Linked DNA regions of Lonchura striata. The protein of the gene in region 1 interacts with the protein of each later gene in a pairwise test. Links are inferred from orthologs where the notes say so. Each region holds a gene or a part of one and is shown on either strand. Other genes may lie near its edges.

Region 1 (7,923 bases):
TATCTATCTGGCATTTCAATCCTATTTCCCAGCCATTTGAAGTGACACGCTTGTGCTATGTGCAAAAGCAGCCAGAGAGAAATTATAACTCTGGCCACACCAAACATGCTGTCAAAAAAAGCAAAGCAACCGAGAAGCATTTTTCTTATTTTATTTCTGATATTTAAATACAGGAGGTAAAAAAAAAAAAACCAAAAAAACCATTAATTCTTTAAGAAAAAGCATAGTTTATAGTGCTTTGTAAGGGTATTTATATAAGAACACATTTCATTCTATAGCACCACTGAATAAACGCAAAGCAAATACTGTATATGAACTTTCCTTTTTTTATTAAATAAAGATTTGTAATATCTCTTAGGCTGTACTAACAACAAGCCTCCTCTACTCCATGGATGTATAATTAAGGATCACCTCTGTGTAATTTGTTAAGATAATAAAAAAGCATACTCATGAGCAATGAACATCACCATTTTAACACTGGCAACCACAAAACAGCTGCATAAAAAAAATACACTGTCTACTCTGCGGATCCTTCATCAGTAAATTCCACTGTGGGATTTTTAATTTTCAATAAATTTAAAATCAAAGATAATACAGTGCCCTCTAAGTAATTTATACCATATTAAAAACATTCATAGTATTCTGATATTTCAGAGGTTTCTTTAGCCATGGCATAGGTTAAGGAGAAAGTACGATTGCTAATCTGCTGTAAAATTCTCTTAGTAAACAGACAGAAAAATGAATAGCAATGTTGATTTCTATCAATTTAGTTGTCTTCACTGTCACCTGTATAATAGGCAACATTTTCAGATGCCTAATTAGGTATGACTGACTTCCTTCTGCACCATGATGTTTTGCAGATGTAAGGCTGTATTGTTCAATAAAATGTAAATTACTCCAAATGGATTAATTCTCTGTCTTGAAAATACATTCATAATAATGAATTTGATTGTCAGTATTCTATTTTTGACACAGTATTCATGAAGGGGACAATATTTCAACATTTTCTGAATAAAACTCTTCCTGGTTTAAATGTAAGATGGTACAGCGAGAAGGTACTTCTGAATTCATGCTCCTTTATAGGAAAAGGATAAACATAAACCATAAAAATAAGCCTGTCTCGTCCCTCCACATCCCCCTTTACAGTGACTTCCCATGCTCGCAGCCATAAGCCCTCTTTCTGCTGCCCTCTTCGATAAACCTGCCGGCCTGGCTGCCTCTCCCTTCCCATGCAGGTCTGATCTTCGAGGCTGCTGAATGCAGACACTGTACTGCACTGTGAATGGACAGCCAGGTATTTTATGAATGGAGCTGATCACGTGTTCCCAGCACCTCCCCGAGCTGATATTTCCCACATAACTGTGTCAACAAGCAGCGAACAGTACATATTAATACAGCAGCTTCTGGAGACCTTCCGCCGCCGGCCGCGGGCCGCAGGCCGGCCCTCAGCCCGGGAGCAGCCGCTTCGTGCGCTCCGCAGGGCAGGTTCCGCCGCAGGTCAGCGGCGGTGACAGCAATTCTTTTTTCGCAATTTTTTTTTTTTTTTTTTTTTTTTTTTTTTTTTTTTTTTATGAATGGAGATTGTGGTATGCAAATGAGAGCGATTCACAAAAAAAGGAAACATGGCGGCGGCGGCCCCGGCTGCCGGCCCCGCGGGCGCCGCGGCGGCTCCCCCGGCCCGGCTCGCCCCGGCCCGCTCAGCGCCGCGGGCGGCAGCGCCCGCGCCCCGCGCCCCGCCGGGCTCCGCTCCCCGCGGGGCCGGCCCGCGCCGCTCCCCGGGGACCCGAACGCCGCGCTTGCGGAGCGCACGGGAAGGTGCGCAGGCTTTGCTCAGAAGTAGGCAGTGAAATGGGAAATCCATCTTTCCTGCCGGAGGAGCCCCGTCGGCACTCTGCCTGTCAGCTCGGCTGCTCCCGGCCGCTCACCGCTACCTACAGATACAATGGGCGCAGCGCTCCCTCCCCACCGCCATGGCCGCGGCCGTCACCGCATCATTCATAAAATAAGACCGAGCAAACATCGACATCGCAAATCGTAACGCTACGGCTCGGAGACCGCAGCAATCGACTTTAAACTTCCCGACCACAAGAAAAGTTTCAAAATACTTTATATTCCTATTTCAAAGCCATAAAGAACTCGGATATTTTCTGACAAACATTTACCGTCTCCGACCCGAATGTATTTCAAAGACCAATTACATGCAGGAGAATACAGCCGCACACACACACAATCTCCTCTGGATTTCATCCAAACCAGTCAGAGCAAAAATATTAAGAGATCCCTTTCCTCTCTGGGGGGTGGGGAGGGGGAAGGGAAGGGGGGAAAGTCCCAAGAGCTCATTAAAAGAAAAAAAAAAAAAAAAAAAAAAAGAGAAAAAAGAAAGGGAAAAAAGAGCTTTAGGGTAGGTTTAAACTGTATTTACACTGACTGACTCATCCAATTAAAATTCAGGAGCAGTTTCCTGCAGGATGAAGCTCCCACACACTAGTTTCCATGTGAAATATCTACAAGTAATAGGATTTTATCAGAGGTAGTAAGTGCCGACACCTCTCTGGGCATTTCAGACCTATCCTGCCCCTCCAAGGCACCATCGTTACCTGCACCGTTTTCTACCGGGCTTTAACTAAATCAGGCTTTTCTGGCCAGCGGCTAGTAGCCCTTCCATAACTAAGCTCCTTCACAAAGAGGGAGCTTCTGGGCTTCCATGTACGCGAGCAGAAATGCGCAGTCCGCGCAGGGGGAGGACAGCACACGTACGTGCGCGGGCAAAGGCCCCGCGGGGCGCGGAGCCGAAGGGACGCGTCGAGCCCCATCCCCATTCCGATCCCGGGGCGCAGGGGAGGGGGAGCACCGCCACTTACTCGTTAGAAGTCGCCGTCTCTTCGCTCATTTTCTCCTCACCACGATCCGACAGGCACACGGAGCAGCACCGACGCAGCCAGGGCGCAGCCAGAACTCACCAGAAACTTCACCATTGTTACCCCCTGTCTGCCGCCCCCGGCCAGGGCACGGGCCGTGCGGTGAGTAAGGGAGGGGAGGCGGGGGGAAGGAACAGGAGAGCGGTCTTTATCCTGGAAACCCGAAATCCTGATGTCCGGCGGTGCAGCCTTACTTCCCCTATCGTTGGAGACGACGATGATGATGGTGGCGATGGTGAAGCAAATAGAAGCAAAACCCACGGATCTTCTGATATTGAGCTGCTCCCAGTTAGAGGGGGATAGAGTTGTGGAGACAAGGGAAGGCTCCCCGCCGCAAAAAGCTGCACCGCACCGTCCTCCCGCTGCAGCTCATCTCCCGCTGCAGCCGCCTTCGTTGCTGCCCTCCTCCTCCTCCTCCTCCTTCTGCTGCTGCTCGGCCGCCTCCCTCCCTCCCTGCCCACCCGCCTCCCGCGCACAGCCGGGGCAGGCGGCGGCAGAAATTCCTCCAGACACCGGAGCCACCACAGGCCGGGGCAGGCGGGGAGGGAAGGGGAAAGGGGGGCAGAGAGGCTCGGCGAGGATCTCCCACCCCCTCCAAAGCGACGCCAAGCACTGCGGAGGGAGGACGCGCCGGCCCGAAGGAGAAGGCTGGCGACGGGGGGAGGGAGGCGTTTTAAACCAGCCTGGGGGTGGGAAGGGGGGGGACGGCGGAGAGCGAGGATGCGTCACGGCTGTTTGTGTGAGGAGAGGCGCGAGCAGGGAGGGGGAGCCGAGCTCCCGGGGCCAGAGAGGAGCCCTCGGCTGCAGGATGAGGGGGAGAGGAGGGAGAAAGCCCGCGGGGAAGTTCAGCGGAGGCGCTTCCTCCCCGGCAACAACTCCATTAGCGGCCGCTGCCGCCGCCTCGGCTCCTCGCGGCCGCCCCCGCCTCCTCCTCACAGGAAAACTGGGCGGAAGCGTTGACTTCAGGCTCCTTCCGCCGCCACAGCTTGATCCAAAATAACCACGGGGGAAAGGGAGGCGGGAGAGGAGGGAAGAGCGAAGGGAGGAAAGTAATCCCCTTGACCCGCGCCCGCCGCCGGACGGGCTCGCGCCGCCGCCCTCCCCGCGGCGCCTGGCGCTGCCCGGCGCTCGAGTTTCCTGAAAGTAGTTCCCTCCCCTGGCGCTGCCTCACGCGCTTCCCGGGGAGCCGCCGCCGCACACGCACGCACGGCGCCGCGGAGGGATACGCGGGCTGCCCGCTGCCGCGCTCCTTCCTGCTCCGAGGGCGCGGGGCCGCCGCTGCCGGGGCCCGGCGCGCCGGCGGCCCCCGCTCGGAGCGGCTCCGCGCAGCCCCCCGCGGGCCGCGAAGGGGTCCCGGGAGCGGTGGCCGCCGGTGGCAAAGGGCCCGGCTCAGGCGCCTGCAGCGGCTGGGGGGCTTGGGGCAGGCGCGGCTGAGCGCCGGAGTCTCCGCCTGCGGGCTGGGCTCCCACTTTTCAGCTACTTTTTGAAGCCGGAGTGAATGTAGCCGCGAAAGTGCGGCCGTCTCTGGGGACGCGGGGGCTTGGGGAAGCGGTGCCCGGCCCGATACCTGCTCCGGGCGGCTCCTCCCGGAGCGGCCGCCCGCAGCCCCCGGGCCCCGCTGGGACGCGGCGGGCCGAGCAGGGCGGCCGGCAGCCCGGGCTGCGCTGCTCCGAGCGCTGCCCTGTGGGACTCTGCGCTCCGGAGACCGGGGAAAGCGGGGCCCTCGTAATTATTTCCGAAATGCGGTTCTAAGGGAGTGACGGCACGAGAGGGTTTGTGCTTGAGTTGTCCCTTTTTCTAAATGCACGCTGAAGTAGAAGCATGTGTAGTTGATTTAGGTAAAGCAGTGAAATCAAGAAGCAGCAGCAACCAAATCCCTTTTCAGGAAGTTACACGGTAAATGTGCTGCTTGATCTGGTGAAAAAGTGGAGCATAGCTGCAAACCCGGAGGACTCAAAAATCATGAGTCAGACCATCAAGTAAATTAAGTTATAATAAAAGATTATACTGTGGTTTTGTCTGTCGGTTGGATTTTTATTTCTTCCTTCTTAGTCTTTGTATGCATGCTTGCCAACTGATATATTTCGTTGTCCAAACTTCGTGGAGAACCCAAAACATAGTGGTGCTGCTGCTGGAAGACGTCACTTTCCCAATGCACATTCCATTACCTCAGGCTTCCTGTGTTCTTCCTCACTTTTTCACAGCTGCTCTCTAAGAACCTTCTCTGTCAATTGTGATCCCATTTCATTTTTTCCTGTAACTGTGAGATTTTTTTTTTTCCCTACTCTGGTGGTACTATAGGAGTGCCAATGACCTACTCTCTTTTTCTGTTTGAAAAAGATGGGGCAAGCTACGCTGGCAGTAATAACGTGTCTGATTCCCACACTACTGTTGATTGGCTTTTTCCCAAGAGGGAGAGACAGGAACATGGGAAATCAGGAGAAGGAATTTTCACTATTTAAAGGGAATCTGGAGTGCCTCACATCACTGAAGGCCAGATTATAAACTTGCATCATTTGTTTGAATGCCCAGAAGCATGGCAATATTGCACTTATGTAGCATATTTGTTAAGGAAATAGTTTCTTTTCGCTAAGTATATGCAGTTTTAGTTAGATTTTTATTTTGTGGGGTGGTTGCTTAGAGCATTGTAAACAAAATCTATTTTTATTTTACCTAGAAGGCAAGGAAAGGCATGTTTCATTTCTAGATAGTTTATGTTGCAATATTCCTAGGGATTGAAGTTCCATGGTTCTTTAAAAGGGGTTCTGCCATAAACTTAATGGTACTATTACAGTAAACTGTTATCATGCTTTATCTGATAAAGTCATTAATATGTTTCAAGCAGCGTATCTCAAACCTGCAGCATTAAAGTTTGCTTCTTTGTGTAGAAGGCTTTGAGGGGAAAATTTCCAGTTGCTTTGTAATTTTTTTTTTTCGGAAGAGTACATTCAAAAATGGAACGGTTATTCATGGCACAACCTCGTCCAGATACTAAACATTACAAACCCACTTTTATATAATTTTACAATTCACATGAAAAGTATCTAAAACAGCTGTGGGCATAATATAATATTCTACTTAGCAGTAAGAATCCTCTCAGACAACTTCCTGTCTTGTGACTGGCAAGATAATGTGACTTCCTGCAAATTTATTTCCCATTTTCTGTTGGCTTTAAAGTAAAAATATTTAACATTCTGTAAATTGTTGTTTTGATTAAGTCAATATACATGATTCTGTACAAGAATGCTCAAGAATAGTTCAGTTTGTCTGGTGGTATAGCTCTGTTCACTGCATCTGAAGAATGAGAAATAATGGTGACAAGATCATTAATCTAGGTGTGTGTTTTTTATGCTGATTCCTTAAATATATTTAATTAAAAAATTATTTTCATAGTGACAATTCAATAAAATGAACTTTTTTTTAATATAACACAAATAATTTTCAAATCATTTCAGTCTCCTTAAAGTTTTCATTAGCTTCTTTGTTAAGAATAAAATGTGTATTCAGTTGTCAACTGAAAAATGTGAGACTCATCCTGGGCTTTTATTTTTCTGTGTGGAGGTAGTAAGGGGAGAAGGACCTGCTGCTTCTTCACCTGTGGTAGGTCCTTCAACTTCTGCAAGCAGTCTCATGCAGCAGTGTGTGAAGCAGAGGTCTTGCAGACAGTTTCCTTCCTTTTACCTGAATATCCTAAAGAGGACAGAAAATCTGCCCTGATTTGTGTCTCAGTTCTGAAATCCTGTTTGTGTTCCTCTGTCCAGGCTAGAAAGCTGGAAGAACACAGTCCTGGAGTACTGGTATTATTTTGCTGAGCAGCAGCTGGTTTCAGGGCTTTCCACGTTTGATTCTTTTGAGGAGAATTAAGCGAACGGGTGTTTTCAATGCAAATAGTTTATTTCTGTAGTATGTGTGAGTCCTGCCTGTGCAAACAAAGCAGAGGCAAGTTAGGTATATATGTCACCATTCAGACACCTCAGACAACTTACTACTTTTTGTTCCAACCAGCACATGTTTTAGGGCCTTGTCTTTGTAAATTCTGTGCCTCTGCTGTTGTTAGAATCTGCACCATATATGTGTTCTGAGTTGAAATTTGGCCACCTTCTCTATGACTTGGAAAAGTTACCTCTAAAAATGAAAGCTTCTATTACTCGAATCACTAGAGGTGCTGAAATGCACTCACTTTCTGGTGTGGGTACAGAGATGACTCCTTAGCTAGAGACAAGATATGCTCAGTATGGAAAAGGGCAAATGAGGTTAAAAATCATTATTTTTTACATTGCATTTGATGTTTTGCTATATCAAATACCTCAAGTTGCACTTTACAAAAACTAATTTATATGTCAATGTCATTGCTCTGCTGCAATATTTTGATAGCTGTGGGACTTTTGAAATGAGAACTGGGGAGGCAACCATTACTGCTAAAGCAAAATGAAGGTAATTATATTATTAGGAAGCCATGTAATATACAAGAAGAAATCTGTGTAAGTGTAGTGGACTGACCCTGGCTGGACATCAGGTACCCACCAGAGCATCCCTGTCACTCCCCTTTGCAAATGGACTGGGGAGAGAAAACACAACTAAAGGTTTGTGGATTGAGATAAGGTCCAGCAGAGACATCACTCACCAAATACCATTATGGGCAAAACATGTACAAAACATATACATTTGGCCCAGTCTTCTTATTTGCCATTCCTTGAAACAGTTCCACATTGTGTCTGTGACACCTCTGATGAAAGAGGTTGTCAGGAATGGCCATGGAGTGTAGCAGGACTCTGAGTGTGTGGCAGAAGAATTATATATAGATGGATTATAGAGGTTAGGTTGCATAATTCTGATCTGCATGGCATTCACATCTTAAAATCCATAATAGGATCAGTGGAGGTTAAGTAATGCAATCCAGATTAGTCAGTCACTGCAGAATTTAAGTGACCAATTCATGGCTCTAAGTCCTAAATATGAAAGTTTGGAACTCTGCCTCCACAAAACACCATGATCTTATGTTTGT
Region 2 (7,301 bases), on another chromosome or scaffold:
TCGATGAACTCTACAGTTGAAACCAAACATAAATCCCATGCAAGCTAATGGGACAAATGAAACTCCCAAATTTATCGACAGCAGTAGATACCACTTCTTCCCAAGCCATATATAATTAGGAGTAATGAAAAAACACTGGTTAGTTATTATAAAAACAGGCTCCTTACCATAATCTGTAAAGCACAGTCAGGTCTAAGTTGCTTTGTTCAACCACCACACCAACTGTTCCTTCTTTTTAGTGACTTATTTAAAAAAAAAGAAAAAGACTCACTTTGCCAGTTATAGCTGGGGGAAAAACTCCCAAGAGCTTTCAGGCTTCATTAATTAGGGCCATCAGAACTGTACTTCATTTAAGCAGTACAAAACAGTGCAATCAAGAGTTACGTCCCGGGCCGTAGCTATCTGCCCCTCTCTCATTCTCTTCTTTCTCTCACCATCTCTCTCAGTAAATGAGACTAATTTTTCCAGCAGCCTTTAACTCCCCAGATTAACTGAAGTGGAAAATGTGACTACAAACTCATAGCACTGTCTAGCCTCCAACCCAGCACAGAATCAACTTCGTTGTGCTGAAGGACACCTAGCAAGCTGCTGCTTGCTAAGTTCATAACCCAGAAGTGTACATTCGCACACAACAGGACTGCGCCATCTAGTTAGCTGCCAGCAGCAGGCTTTGGGAGCAGATGCCTCGGGATGCAGGGCTTTAGCCTTGGGAATGTTCAATTTCTTACAGATTCAATTGTGGTGTGGGGTTGTTTTAATAAAATATCACTACTGAGATAATCCACATCTAGTGGATATGGGAAAATTTAGGCTATAATAGCGCAGCAAACTTTTACATCTATCTTTGATTTACAAGATAAAAGCAACTTTTAAATTAAAGAGCCTTTCTGCTAACAGAGCTTATTATGCCAGAGACAGGAATGATTTTCCTAGAAAGTTGTCCCTGTGTGCACGCCTATTATCTTTGCTTTCCCCCTTCCACTAATGAGCATTTATCTAAAGAGCCTGTTAATCCTCTGATGTGTGCTTCTGGTCAGAGGTAACAGTTTGAATAAAACCACTAATCACTTATCACTAATCACTGATCATTAATCACACTTTTCCCTAGTGCTCTGCGACCTGTACAGCTCCCTTTAGGATTAAGGAGTCACAAATAAGGAGTTTAGCCATTTTTTATTAAGAATTTCCAGCTTTTGATACCGACAACCTCATTCGCCACATGAAAGTTACAAAACACTGAGCGGGGACTTTCACCACTGTACACTTTTATACTGAAAATAAATAGTACCTTTAGGGAAGCATACCTCCTTCAGCAAAATTCCCACAAATTACCCTACGCTTTTGCATTCGGCTCTCACTTTCTACCTCTCAATTTTCTTTCAGACAAGTTTCCGGATTATCCCTGCATATATCTTACAAGAAAGTTTTCCTACATCACTGCTCCTTGACTCACTGCTGCTTGTCCAAATGGCCAGACAAGGAAAGTCTGGTGCACACCAGCGGGTGAATCTTTCTCTAAAAAACTGCAGTCTCAAGAAAAGCCCAAGATGCTTCACAGTAATTATTATCCTTCTGTTCAAGTTTAAATTTCATCTAGCTAAGCACTGTTTCTTACTGATAATATACGGAAATCTTCTAATCTTTCTGTTTAGGTCACTTCTCATATCAATCTGGATTTAGAAAAAGTAAAAAAGAAAAACTAAGCAACATATGGACATTTCATTTTCCTTTATTTCTACCCCCATCTCTGAAACTACCTCTCTCTTTCCAATTATAAAGCTTACATTGAGCCCTGGAGATGAAGGATCACTCACCATGCTCGGACATAAATAATAGAGGAGGCAGAGTTTAGCAAGTATTCCCCTTACACTCCTGCAGCTCTTATCGTCCTGAAAACTTCGCTGGGGAGAGAGAGACCCCTGTAAGAGAGGACAGTAGCGGGGGGACGCGGAGCTGGGGGCGGGGGTAATGATGAGCGGAGTAGAGAGGCTGTAAAGGGAGAGGAGGGCTGCAGAGAAGAGACCTTGTCAACACTCGCCCCCTCCCCGCACCCGAGGGCATCCGAAGCGGAGCATCAGCCCCGCACCGGCCCGCAGCATGACGTAAGGGCCGGCAGCAGCCCGACACCCGGGGTATCTCACGGGGAAAGCGGCCGCGCAGCACCCCGCGCACCGCTCCGCGGCCACCGCCTGCTGCTCCCGGCTCGCAGGGAAGCACGGCCGCCGCCGCGAAACTTATGCAGAAGTTTTGGGAGCGGCGGGGAGAGAGGACGGCGGGGCAGCGCGCCGCCGAGCTGTCACCGCCGGGTGCCGCCGGGTTACGCTGAGGCTGGAGCCGTCCAGCCCGCCGTGAGCGCGGGGACTCCGCGGTCGCTCCGCCGGGAGCTGCCCACCCGCTCGCTCCGCTCGGGGCAGCACCAGCGGGGTGCTGCTTGCGCTCCGTCTCATCCCATCCCATCCCATCCCGTCCCGTCCCGGGAAGCAGCGCGCAGACTTCCCAAACTCCCTGAAGTGCGGACGGGGAGTCCAGCTTCCCCGCGTCCCGGCGACCGTGCGCTGCCGCCCCCGCCGCCCTGCCCTGCCCTGCGCTACCCTCCGCGGGACTCGGGGTCGCTCACGCCCCTCTCCCCGAGCACGGCGGGGACGCGGGAGCGGCGGGACTCCGCGCCCGCCACGGAGACCGGCGCTGCCGCCTCCGGAGCAGATGCGGTGGCGGAGGGAAGAGCCCCTGCAGCCGCAGGCTGCCCCTTCCCAGCCGCGCACCCGGCGCTGCTGCGCTGGGCTCCGTGCGGGGCGCGCCGCGCCGGGCGCCTTCCCGGGGCAGCCCCGTATTTTTAGGAACTTACCGCCCGGCGCGGCGGGGACGGGACCGGCAGCGCGGCCGGAGGAACCACGTTGGACTGAGGGACGGTTACAATACGTTCTATTTAGAGAAGCATTACATCACCCTCCGTGACGTCACGTGGGATTCCTGAACTTCTAAATCATTGCGGTCCGTGCCGGGCGGGGGGGCGGCCGGCAGCGCGGGGCGGGGGCGCGGCCTCGGGCGGGCCCGCCCCGCGGGGCCGGGGCGGAGCGGGGCTGGCTCAGCCGGGAAGGGCGGCCCGCCCCCCGCGTCCCGGGCGGCCGCGGGCTCCGGCACCGGCGCCCGGGCGGGACGGGGCGCAGCCGGGCCGGGCGGGGGCTGCCGGGGGACAGCGGTGCCTGTGCGTGCCGAGCTCCGGCAGGCGCGGAGCCTCTGCTGAGTGACAGCCGCAGGGGGACTCGGGTCCTGCAGCCCCGAACTCTTTCGAGAATTTTTGTTTGCTTGAGTTTCTTTATCTAGAAAGTGTTTAAGGAGTGACGCGGTGCCCGAGAAGGGAGGGAAGCTCCGTCTCGAGCTGCAGCCGTGCCAGGCTGCGCCGCTCTTCACCTGCTCAGGTGCGCCCGGTGTCCGCCTGGCAGGGTTTGATGCCGCGGCGGAGCCCCAGTGGCGCTGGAGCAGCGCAGTCACAAAGAATCTTAACTGATAGAATCGAGTGTCTCACTGCTTTTTGAACATTTAAACATTCTGCATCTATTTGGCAGTGTCTCTGAGTCGTCGTCTGGGACGCTTGCGGATGACAAAGTTACTGTTCTACCCTGTATCTACTTCAGCGCCTCCTTTTCTGTTTTTTTTTTACTCTCAACCTAATGCTCCTCAGCAGTTCCTCTAGCACCTGGGTCTGGAGGTTCCTTTGGCACCTTACTCCACACTGCAGTTATCCAGGAGGGATTTGTATCAAAGATACACGATTGAACTGGATTTAGCAGCTGATTCATGCCAGGAGGTATGACTTAATTCTAACGCAGTGTTTTAGCACCTAAGCCTGGATTGTCTCATGAGGAAATCTCAGTGTTTTGAGGGTCTCAGAATCTGCAATGGCTTGGTCAGTTTGGTTTTTCTCCGATATTCCATTAAGAGAGGAGTAATACAACACGTACTGCCAAAATTGGGAATACTTTACAAATGGCAATAATACAGCACTTTACTCCTAATAATACCATTCTTTCACAGGTTTCTATTAGGCTGTCTGATTATCATCTTCAGCTTTTAACAATTCACTGGCACTTTATGCAGGATTTAAGCAGATAGAAGCAAATCCTATCAGTGACTGATGATAGGTTTTGAACTCATTTAACTCCTTAGGATAAAGCTCAATGATGCTGTCACTGTAAGCCTTTGTTTTGTCAGGTATTATCTTTGGAAACTGCATATCAAGTGCAAAGTGCCTTACCTCTAAACGTCCTGGAATTATAAACTACACAGATGACTAAATTAATAATTGCAGTTATTTCTGTCTCACAGGAAGGGTTTTAGCACACACAAACACAGCAGTTTTTAAGGCCATGACAAAAAGATTTAAGTGCAGGAAACAGCTCTGCATCTCTCATTGAAGTTTCATCGTACAATTTATGTACTCACACTTTCACAGACATGCAGCTGGCACTGTGGCTGATCGATGGGTTTTCCTGGGATTGCAGTGAGACTTTTCTCCAGTTTTCTCAATGAGACCAAACTGTAAATGACAATGGAGAATTCAGGTGCCAGTTGAGGACAATAGGGCCCAAATACGCCAGCAACCTCTGTAGTAAGACTCAGTTATGGGAAAAAAAAGATCCTAAAAGCAAGATGAACAGTACCTCCACTTTTTTCAGATCAATTGTTTTACTTGCCACATACATATTTGGACAGATCTCTACCACTTAAACAGACAGGCAGCTTGTGGCAGCCGTCTGTGAGTGTCTGCCTCACACAGAGTGGTGACAAATACTTTGACAGGTGTTTACCTTGGTTTTCACTGACAGCAGAGCCGGAGAGGTTTTGGGTTCCTGATATGAGTCTCAGGGCCCGAGGAAAGACTCCTGAAATGAGTTGGAGTCCTGGGGGGCAGAATGACATAATAATGTCAACGGTTCCTCTGAGGTTGAAATCTGCTGCAATATGTGTCACATATTATTGCTTTCCCCCTTGCCCGACTTCTATTTCAGTTGCCACCCTCAGATTCTTTTGCTCTCCTCCCTCTTCCAGCTCTTTACTTATCTATTTCCATTTTTCTTTTGCCTGTTACCAACCTTCTCTCTGTTCTATGGCGACCACTCTGATCTCTGAATGGGGATGTGAAAAGGAGCATTGAGATGCAGCTTTGTTTTGTTCTATGCTCACTTTAATCCCCGTTGGTTGAACGGTTCACAGAGAAGAAAATGTGTTGATGCCTTCAGCCTGAGAACACTGAGCAGAGAAGGGACATTGAGAAAATGTAATTGCCAAGTTCTTTCTTGATTTAAACCGTGGGATGTTGATACTAAAAGAGACACTCCTCTGCCTCCAAAGTTGCCACTTTCATGTTGAGCTGATGTCTGCTTGTGTGCTGTCACTGTGAAGAACAGCTCTTTAATATGAACTCCTCTAAAGGTGGTTTGAATTAGCATATTCCACTCAGCAAATGAGGAATGTACGCAGAGTCAGTTACAGCTCAGCTGACAAGCCGTAATTTGAGAACAGGCTTAATGCAGGGGACAAATTTGACCAAATCTTAGAGGCTAATCAAAGGCACCTCCTGGAACAGCGAAATTATCATTCTGCAGAACTTCAGGTTCCTGCTCAAAAACCACTATATATTAAAAAAAAAAAAAAAAAAAAAAACAACACAAAAACAAACAAACAAAACCCCCCCCCCAAAAAAAACCAAAACACCACCAAACAAGAAACACCAGCTTGTGAAATACAGGTTAATGTTCCTACTTCCTTTTTATGGAATATTGTTCAGGAGTGATTGAATTTTGGAAGCAGCTTTCCAAAATACTCCTGCCTAGGGCAGGAAAACTCCATACTGAATAGTTCAAAACTTGGCAATATTTTTAAGAGATTGAAGAAACTTGTAATGAAAAGTACTGAGCAATCAACTCCATGAGGCACTACCTGTTTTTTCATAAACTAATTTAAAGGTACAAAGTCACACACTGCTTTTCTGGTTTTATACTCAGGCTTTAATAAACCTGCTTTCTTCTTGTGGCAAAATCCCAACTTACATGCTTTTCTGTATTGTATATTCTAACAAATGTTTAATATAAAGGTTTTTGTCAGTTTTAGACTCTAAGTATAAAACCTGAAAATGACACATTCTTTACAACAATTTACATAGTTTAATGGGTATTAAAACTACTCAGACATTTGAACTTAAATGCGTTAGAATGACATTTTGTTTGACTGATAGTAAATGACAGTAGTGCTGTTTCAGCAAACACCTAAAATCTTTGTCATATCATTAAAATCATTGGGAAGTAAAGATATTAAAATAATTATAGGAGTTTTGTATGTCAAATATCAGTCTCAGTAAATCCCTATTGCTGTCAAATAAAATGAGTATTTACTGCTGGTAGAGTTGAATATTTTACATACCCATTCTTCCTATAACATCATTAACCACATGTTTAACTAAGCTGCTGCCAGTGTTGAGAGCTACTCTCAGCTCTGGCACTTGCAATTATCTTGTTACAAGTACTTTGCAGCAATATCTTTTAGTCTAATCGAACAGTAATTTATTCACCTCCTTATGTGCTAATAGAACTTCAGAGCTCTCCATTTATCATGTGAAACTATCCACAAAAAAATGTAGTTCAGCACTAGTTACACAGAAGTGAAGCCTAAGAAATAAAATGGTAAGAGGAAAAATTGATTTCTAGATATCAACATATACTTTAATCCATGGTGATAGTAAAATGCATTTTAAAAGGAGGTACAAATTATGCTATTTAATATATGATAATCCTAGTGATATCCTGAACAAGTGTAATTCTGGTGTTTTTATGAAATGCTAGATTTCTTAATTATTACATCTTTGTTCAGACCTCACATCTCCTTATTTTAGTAACAGACTGGATGGGCTATCAGTGAAGGGAACCAAGTATTCTCTATGGTTTCAGGAGCTGACTCGGAAGTACCAGATTAATCTCAAAGCTGAGACAGAAACTGGTGAATAAGTAGAGTTAACCAGAAGTTAAGTAGTATCACACATTTTTTTAAAAAGAAAAGTTCTATTAGCTGAAATGTAAATGGTAAACACTGTTCCTGTTCATCTGTATCATTTCTCAAGTGGACTGGAGAGGAAAGGAAGTGTGATACATCTCGGGGATGTGAAACAGTCCTGTGGGATGCCAAGAAAGTCACATCTGCATTTCTGTGCTCTATGTACATCTCCTCACCCATTCATCTGAAGGCCTCACTTTTTAATGACATTTGTGTTTTAAGCAGGTGACAAAAATAGGGATCCAGGTCTCAGT
Region 3 (8,060 bases), on another chromosome or scaffold:
CATAAATCAAAGATGCCATAGGTGTTACACAAAAAACCTGAAAATCAATGTAATTTAAAAAGCACTTTTGAGGTATCCTATTGAGAGAAAAATTTGTCCATCGTGTTCTAAACTGGAGTGTTGTGTTTGGTTTGGTGTTTTTTTCCCTGTTTCTGTGCAGAATTAGGTAGATATGTATGCACTTTGTAGCTGAAGTTCTGCTGGTAAATCAGAAATAAAGAAGGCAGATTTTATAAGGCTCCTTACAGCCACAACAAGAAACACAGGCCTCCAAATTCAGACCAAACCAGATTTGGATAATAAATACAAGTCAACATTGTAATAAAGCTGCAGGATTGTTTTTCTTGGTATTTTTTTCTTATTTAATTAAACAGGAAAAAAAAAAGCAGATGATAAACTCTATGACACTGAACACCTGCTTAAAGGAACTATGACACTGCTGGAGTAATCCACAGTTCAGCATGAATCTGAATTTGCTTGAATTTCTAAAATTAAAACAATTTTCAGGTGCAGAAGAGATGTCCCAGGGAGAAGGATGTTTATTTGTGCAGTCTTTTCTGGTGTTTTTGATAGGTAATGCTTTTACATCTTTCCATCATTACTTATTTTCTATCACATCACTCCTATTATTGCTCTACTCCCTTATGTCTCTTTTTCCAAAACAAAATCCCTAACGCTTCAAAAACTCATGTCCTGATTATTGGAACTCCAGGGATTTCCAAGCAAGACACTATTTCAGGTGGAAGTTTGAAACTAGCCAGGATATGTCAAGTTCCCCAAAGCTGGTGTGCTTTCTGTGTGTCGTGGGGATCCTCTCTGCTCCAGTGGGAGTCTGACCCCGCTGGATTGGAACAGGGGAATGGAAGTCATTGGTCTCCCAGCCTCCCTGGCACTGGCATGAGGGAAGCTTGCAGGGTCAAACTGGACTTGCATATTCCCCATCCCCTTCAATTCACAGAACATTCTACTTTTTTTCTTATTTTCAGAGTAGCCGCTCTTATGAATGAGAAGTTTGGTGTGATTGAGAACTGCCCAGCAGCACAGCCACACTCTCTTCCTGTGACACAGAGCACACGAATGTAAGGTTTGGAGATCTTGTTTGTGACTTATCAAAAATGCACTTTTTAGTGTTATGGTAAGTCTAAAGCCTTAGTCTACCATCATATACATGAACTAAATATTTGAACTCAGAAATCCCATCTCCACTGTATTAGGAAATTAATCTTGTTAACGTCTATGATGTTGTGTTTCCTTGTATGACTAAATGTAAAAATGCTATCTGGCCCATTAGACCAGAATGTGGAGTTGAAAAGGAAAGAATGTCTGGGATAAAGGGAATTTCTGCAAGTCTCTACTCTCAGCACCTGGGTAGGAAGCAACAGAGCTGGAGGTGAGTGGAATGTGCATCACTTGAAAATCCGGTGTAGGGATCGGTGCCCCTTCTGTGATACTGGCAATTGCTATTAGACACTGGCAACAACATCACAGATGTACCCAAGCTGCACATTCAGACCTAAATAATACTGCCCATGTGGGGAAATTAAAAGAAAGAAGACTTTGCATTCAAGTATTTCAATTCTGTGCAAAAATTAAACACACTCTTACTTTTCTCAAAGAGGAATTATTTTAAAAGAGCTATTAAGCATTTGGATAAGCAGAGGACTTGATAGCTTAATGGTCAGAATGCAGCTCTCTGGCGACTGGCATGCTAGAATGAAGTCCTTTTTTGCTCTGCCTGAAGCTAGTGGGCTTAAGGGAGAACTGCCATCAGTACTAAATGTCCAAGAGGTGCCTCTCTGGCTCTGCTAAACATCTGGGATGCAGGGATGATGGAAGCACCTGTTGAAACAGTGAAGGAAACACGGGTCTAAGTGCATCCTGCTTTCCCATCCCCCTGTAATGCTCCTGAGAAATTTTATCTTATGCAGAGAGAACTCTCTGCCCTGCTCCATCAGCTGTTTCCTCCTCCCCCATCCCCATGAGAGCTCCATCCACTCAAAGAGCAAGTTTAACCCTGAATGACTTACCCAATCCCACAGTGAGACAAGGGCTGACGTGAAAATAAACCCACTGGACTTGAACACTTCCAGTTAAATACTTGCTCTTGCTATACGTGTTAGATCACAAGTCCTAACTAAGGCAACATTCTTTCCAGAGCTGCTGATTCAGGGTTGCATAAGTGACAGAAATATAGGAGGTATCAAAAATGTAGTTTATAAATTTTCCAATAAAAATATCCAGAACTGTTATTTTACACAGCATACAATATCACAAGTACCAGAGAAGCTTTATGATTCATTGCCATCTTCCACCAAATTTAATTTGAGATATTGATGGCATGGACAATTACTTCAAAGTCAATTCTCTAAACCATTCGTCTTTTTCTACAGTGCACTCACTGCTTGTCATTTTCTTTTGCCATTCTGATACCTCCAGCTTGCCTGATGGAAGCTGTCTGTGGTTTGTAATGCAAACCAAATGTTCCTTCTATGTTTCTTTTTTTTTTCCCCCAAGCTTTATTTTTCCAGCCTTAAATCTTAAAAGTTCAAACTCAGACTGTCTTCTGCAAACAAAATACATGATCTGAGCTGTAGGCATTTGGTTCAAATTTTTGGTTGGATATTAAACCAAGCATTTACAAGATACAAATAATTTGGTGTAGCTCCCAGATTGAATGTGAATGCTCTGCTGTTAACCAGACAGCAGGAAATACAGGACTTTACTAGCAAGAACAAGATGAGTTTTACATTACCAAGTGCTAGCAGCATCCTCTTTTAATCTAGATCTTGCATCCTAATTTAATCTAGATCTTGTATTCTTACTCAGATTCATTGCTGCGCAGTACTATTAGCACTGACTAGGGTTTCCCCACAGTAGGTAGAGCTAAAGATTTGGAAGTTTTCTAATAAAGAGGAAGAAACTCTCAGAGAGCAGAATTAAAAAATGATAATTAAAAACCCTAATGGTAAAATAAAAATTTAAAAGGAAGAACTTACAGCAGCGAGGCAGACAAACCTGACTCCTGCAGAAGGCTGTTCCTCTTCATAGGCCTGGCAAAAAAAGACAGAGTGAATAATTGAAAACACACTCTCCTGGTGCCACGTGACTCAGTTTCAGTAATTGTGCTCAGTACATTGGAACGGAGCTATTGTTTCCTAATTGAAGAAAATGTCAGCAGGGCTAGATAAACAAAAGCATTGGGATGTAGTATTGGGGAAGCTGTTTCCAGCAGGCTCCCAGCTACCTGGACATGGCAGAACCATTTAAGGAGTTTGTGTCATTTGTTTTCACCCATCACTCTCTGGTCTGAGGTTTGATGGGGTTCAGGCATGTTAAAGCCACCTGAGGGGAGCTGGGGCAACAGCAGAGTCTGTGCTAATCCAGTGAAGGTTTTCTGTTGGAGGCTGAGATGGCAAATATGCTTGTATTTTTCAGCTGATATTTTAACATTAAAAAAAACATTAAGCTAGTAAGAGTTTCATGGACAAATTCTGTTCCAGGAGCAAAACATAAGAGGTGTCACTTTTGAATGCCAGACCCCTGTATTGTTCACCACGAGCACAATCTCCTTAACTTACCAGTTCTTACTTTCCCCACTATGGGCTAGACTGCAACTTTGTGATCCAACCAGATCAAGGACTCAGAAAACTATTGCTTATCACACAGATCATGTCAGTCCCCACCTGTTGATCCTCAGTTGTGCTCAGACAGACAGGTAACAAAATTGCTGCAGAAACCTGCTTGCTCTCAATGAAATTATGTGATAAGATTCATAGGGTGTTTTTTAATTAAAAAAAAAAATCCCTAAAAGAAAACATTGTATCTGGAAGAGTTAATGTTAGTTTATTGAAATAGTCAGGCCTCTTCAGAGTGTTCTCGCAAACTATTAATCTCATGCTTTTAAGGAAAATGTAATAATTTTCCTCTCTGGTCATGGAAATGGTCAATATGACAGTGCTTACACACCTGCTGCCCTCAGTGTTCTGTCTTGAAGGTTCTGGTTTTATCGCTCTGTCGCTAACCTTGTAAAGGAGGGAGAGGAATTATAGAAATGGTTTAAAATATTGCACAGATAGGGGCTCATGTTTAGTGATCCTATTGCTTCTAGGTAAAACATGGACTGTAAAGACAAACATCTGTCCAATGAGAATGATTCCATACTGGGAGAAAAAGGAAAGATGAAATCTCTGCTCTGTACAGTGTTTCCAAGAGCTTGGAAAATGTTGTCCATGATAATACAATTGTGGGCATTCTGTATTTTAAACAGAGTTTATTGAGAGAATTTGACATTATTTTCCCAACATCTGTTATTGGGATATTCGTTCCCCAGATGAAATCTTCTCTAAAGGACAGAGGTTTTACCTGACTCAGTGGTTAATAAATGACATGGAGCATTACCCAACTCTTTCAGAAGAACCAAGTCTTGGCACTGAGTAGTGATCAACAATTATGAAGTAGCTTTCCTGGAAAGGAGGAGAAATAGGGAGCTGACTTTGAATTTTGGCAAAGAGTTTGTCACTGTATTTGAAGAGAAAGTACAGTGGCCTTGTACATAAAATGGGGTTTTATATGTAGTGCTAGTACTGTAAAAAAGAAATATCAACAAGGAAGCAAAGCCACAGACTGTTTACCACTTTACTGTCTTTCACTACAACACACACATGTTTTTGTTTAGCAATAGAGAACTCATTCACACAAAAATCTCAACAGTCCCTGAGTTCTGATCCAAGCTGATTGAGCTGGAAGCTCAAAAGCATTGGAAAGCTTGCTTTATTTCTTCCCATTGTCACATGCTTTTGCATTTCCTGACTATGGGCTGAATAATGTAGTCCCTAAGCCACTGGGAGTTTTGTTCATTCCAAGTCTGGACTTCTGCCAGGGCCAGCAGCAGAAACATAAATATCACAAGGAGGGGCTGTTTTTTCATGTAGCTTTACTCTAACCTTTTGCAGTTTTTTCCATCTTCTCTGTACAGAAGTTGTTCAGTGCCCAGTGGTGAACAGAAAAGCAGTTTTTTAGAAGCCATGAAGAAAAGGAGAAGGAGTACCTCTACTGTGCCTGCCCCTTGCATTAATGGTATGCTTTGATATTGGATACAGTGGTCAATCCTCATTACTTAGCTCAAAGGTATTGTAGCAGGAAAAGAGAAATGAACACTGATCAGAGGCTGAAAATTTGTATTCAAAGATTGAAATTATGTGAACTCTCCTATGCAGAAAGAACCTATAATGAAAAAAGTTTATGAGATAATAGGAAATATAAGGCAAATCAGTGTGGCTTCTTTATTTCCTTCTCATGTGAGGGACAGGAAAATAATGTGGTAAAATAAAGAGTTCAAACAAATAAAAAGAAATAATTAAAATTTAAGGCATAATGCATGTGCGGAACAAGAAGGGAGCAGAAATCATGAGCACTTTGAAGTTAGATGTTTTGTCTTTGATTTCAGTCAGACAGAGATTTCACCTCAGGAGGTGAATTGATGAAAATGTATTTCTGTAGATAAAGGGAATAGCTTGTAGAAAGGGCAGCAACTCCTGCTCTAGAATCAAAGTCAAACAATGCAGTTTACAGATAGAGTGACAGTCCAGCCATGGGATAGTTACCATAAAATGGAGTAACTCTTCTGATATCTGGAGTTAGTATCTATTGGCAGTGGGTAAAGCAAAGAGAAGAGCCACTGCACTTAATAGTTATGGCAATTCTTCTCTTTTGCATGACTAAAATCAAGATGTGTCTGGAACTATAGCAGATACAGGAGCTGAGCCTTCTTTTCTCCCAATTATTTTCCACATGCACAGGTTTGGATTCTAGAGGACAAATATGAAGACTATTCAGTACTAAATATTTTGCCTGTTGCTACTGGTGACAACCTTTTCCAAAAAGGAATGTATAAATTTAAACAGGACATTAGTACTGGGCAAAGCAGACTAAGTAACGATGGAACAGCCTCAGTCCTGATCTCCACCCAACCTCAAATACTGTTTGTGTTAATATGAAAGAAAGCCAATAGTTTAGAGTGTTCAAGTTTTTATCCCATCCTTACATTGTTCAACAAACTGATAATTTACTTTTGCCTTAAACACAGCCACAATTTTCACATTTGCCATGTTCCAGACTACAGTTATGCTGCACAGGACAATCCATGCCTTCATTGCTGCTAAGGCAGGCTGGATTAGTCATCTCTGTCTTGGGTTTCATGACTTTCACACTGCCCTTCCATCCATGAAAACACAGCTACATGGCATGCTGAGTCACCATATCAACCCAGCTAATCCAGTAGCCTTCTCCAGCAATAACTGACAGCAATTGTTTTAAAGGGATTAACTTAAAAAAAAATCAAGATAGAGTTTGCTTTCAGGAAGAGTTTCTGAGTACCTTGGTAGAGTAGACTGGCGCGATGAGATTTTGTATATGAAATGCTTGGACATATCATGATATGATATGATATGATATGATTGATATGATATGATATGATATATACGATACGATATGATACTATACGATACGATACGATACGATATGATGATATGATATGTCTTGTTTTAGCAGAAGTTACAGCTGCCTCATCTTGGATAAGTATTGCATAGTGTTAAATTAGGTAAATCTCTTTTTAATTCCTTTCATTACTTAGTACCTAACTCATGCCAGGAAACACAAAGATATTTTTTACCTTCTACACATGAAATTAATCCTGTGTAATAGAACTGTAATTTATCCATTTCTGGCTCCCATTAAGCTTTTGATTTCAAGAGTATGCACAGGCAATTAGTTTCATGTGTTACATATAAATGTACTTCCTTGTAATTATTTGAAATTTGTTGCCTCTAAGATTTGTTCAGTTCTTCTGCTAGGAAAAATATTCTGATCTTCACATCTCTGTGGAATACTTTTCTCATTGATCTCTGTACTGATGTCATCCTCTATCTTCTGCATACTTTTATCTTTTTGTCTTCTGCCCCTCCTTTCAGCTTCACACTGCTTTCATATGTTTGGAATTCCTCCTTTTGCTTCAGATCCTTTTTGAAAAAATCACTTCCTTTTGTGAACTTTATTACCTGGCTATTTTATGATGGTATCCAGCTCTGCAACCTCCTAAACTATTTTCGAGTGAATTGCTTTCCTGTGAATTAATAAAAGTTCCTAGACCTTGCCTTGCCAGAAACATTTGTGTTTCATGACTTGCACTCCCACTCTGTGATTACTAACCTCTCTTGCTGCAGTGCCCTAGAGATGAGCAGTAAAATACTGCTTATATAGTTCCATGTAAGAGAGTCTAATTCTAAGTGTACACCCATAAAAAGTATCTTTACCTCCTTTTGAGAACATATCCTTGGACTTCATGAAGGATATGTTACTTTATGCATACAATGCTTTGTTTACAAAGCAGTCCATATGATTTACATAAGTGATTGTGTTAAGAGTGTGTGATTGAAAAAGTACAGCACTGAGTGTAAAGTTTGTTTGCTATAGCCATGGAGGGGTGCACGAGGCAAGAATGGTACCCTTTCAGCTAAGTGTTGTGTGCTGTATTTTTATTTTAATATTTTTATAGTGTGTGTATAGGCTATATGTGACATTATGCTGGGCTTTGAGAAACACTAAATATTTATGTCAGCTATGAAGTTGCTAAATATCTGGTAGTGAAAGAAAGGTCCATCCCTTTTTTTTTTTTTAACCATTGACCAGTTTATAACTTAATGCAGCACCAGAGCAGTAAGAGCATTATGTGAGCTCTCCTGTATGGTGTCATTCAAGTTTAAACAAATATTTTAAAAAGTTATAACTTTACCTTCTTTCCACATAATGCTCCTTTTTCATCTGACTTAGTATTGCCTTTAATTTATAGTTCCCCTAAACTGTAGGGAGACATAAGGGCCCTTTAGGCTGAATGAAAGGAGAATTATCAATAGCCAAACTATGATTTATAAGGAAAGAAACATAAACAGCAGAAGAAAACTGAATTGACTCTACCTACAAAAATGATATGAAAATTTTCTCTGTATTTTTCATGAATTCAGTTAAAAGGTGTCTTTAGACCTGCCCTTTTCTTTAACCTGTTA

What was found.
Region 2: the proteins of SPRED1 (region 1) and CREB5 interact in binary tests that used the Homo sapiens proteins (3 or more experiments, as listed by UniProt). The link is inferred for Lonchura striata from reciprocal best matches to the Homo sapiens genes SPRED1 and CREB5.
Region 3: the proteins of SPRED1 (region 1) and IL16 interact in binary tests that used the Homo sapiens proteins (3 or more experiments, as listed by UniProt). The link is inferred for Lonchura striata from reciprocal best matches to the Homo sapiens genes SPRED1 and IL16.

The regions. Positions count from the first base shown.
Region 1 is NC_134608.1:30,928,085-30,936,007, reverse strand, and holds the start of SPRED1 (sprouty-related, EVH1 domain-containing protein 1), read right to left. Parts: upstream 3,097-7,923; 5' UTR 2,891-3,096; coding exon 2,862-2,890; intron 1-2,861. UniProt on the Homo sapiens protein: Tyrosine kinase substrate that inhibits growth-factor-mediated activation of MAP kinase. Negatively regulates hematopoiesis of bone marrow.
Region 2 is NC_134603.1:122,802,444-122,809,744, forward strand, and holds the start of CREB5 (cyclic AMP-responsive element-binding protein 5), read right to left. Parts: upstream 3,005-7,301; 5' UTR 2,846-3,004; intron 1,902-2,845; 5' UTR 1,818-1,901; coding exon 1,815-1,817; intron 1-1,814. UniProt on the Homo sapiens protein: Binds to the cAMP response element and activates transcription.
Region 3 is NC_134613.1:15,908,210-15,916,269, forward strand, and holds the start of IL16 (pro-interleukin-16), read right to left. Parts: upstream 3,046-8,060; 5' UTR 2,997-3,045; intron 1-2,996. UniProt on the Homo sapiens protein: Interleukin-16 stimulates a migratory response in CD4+ lymphocytes, monocytes, and eosinophils. Primes CD4+ T-cells for IL-2 and IL-15 responsiveness. Also induces T-lymphocyte expression of interleukin 2 receptor. Ligand for CD4.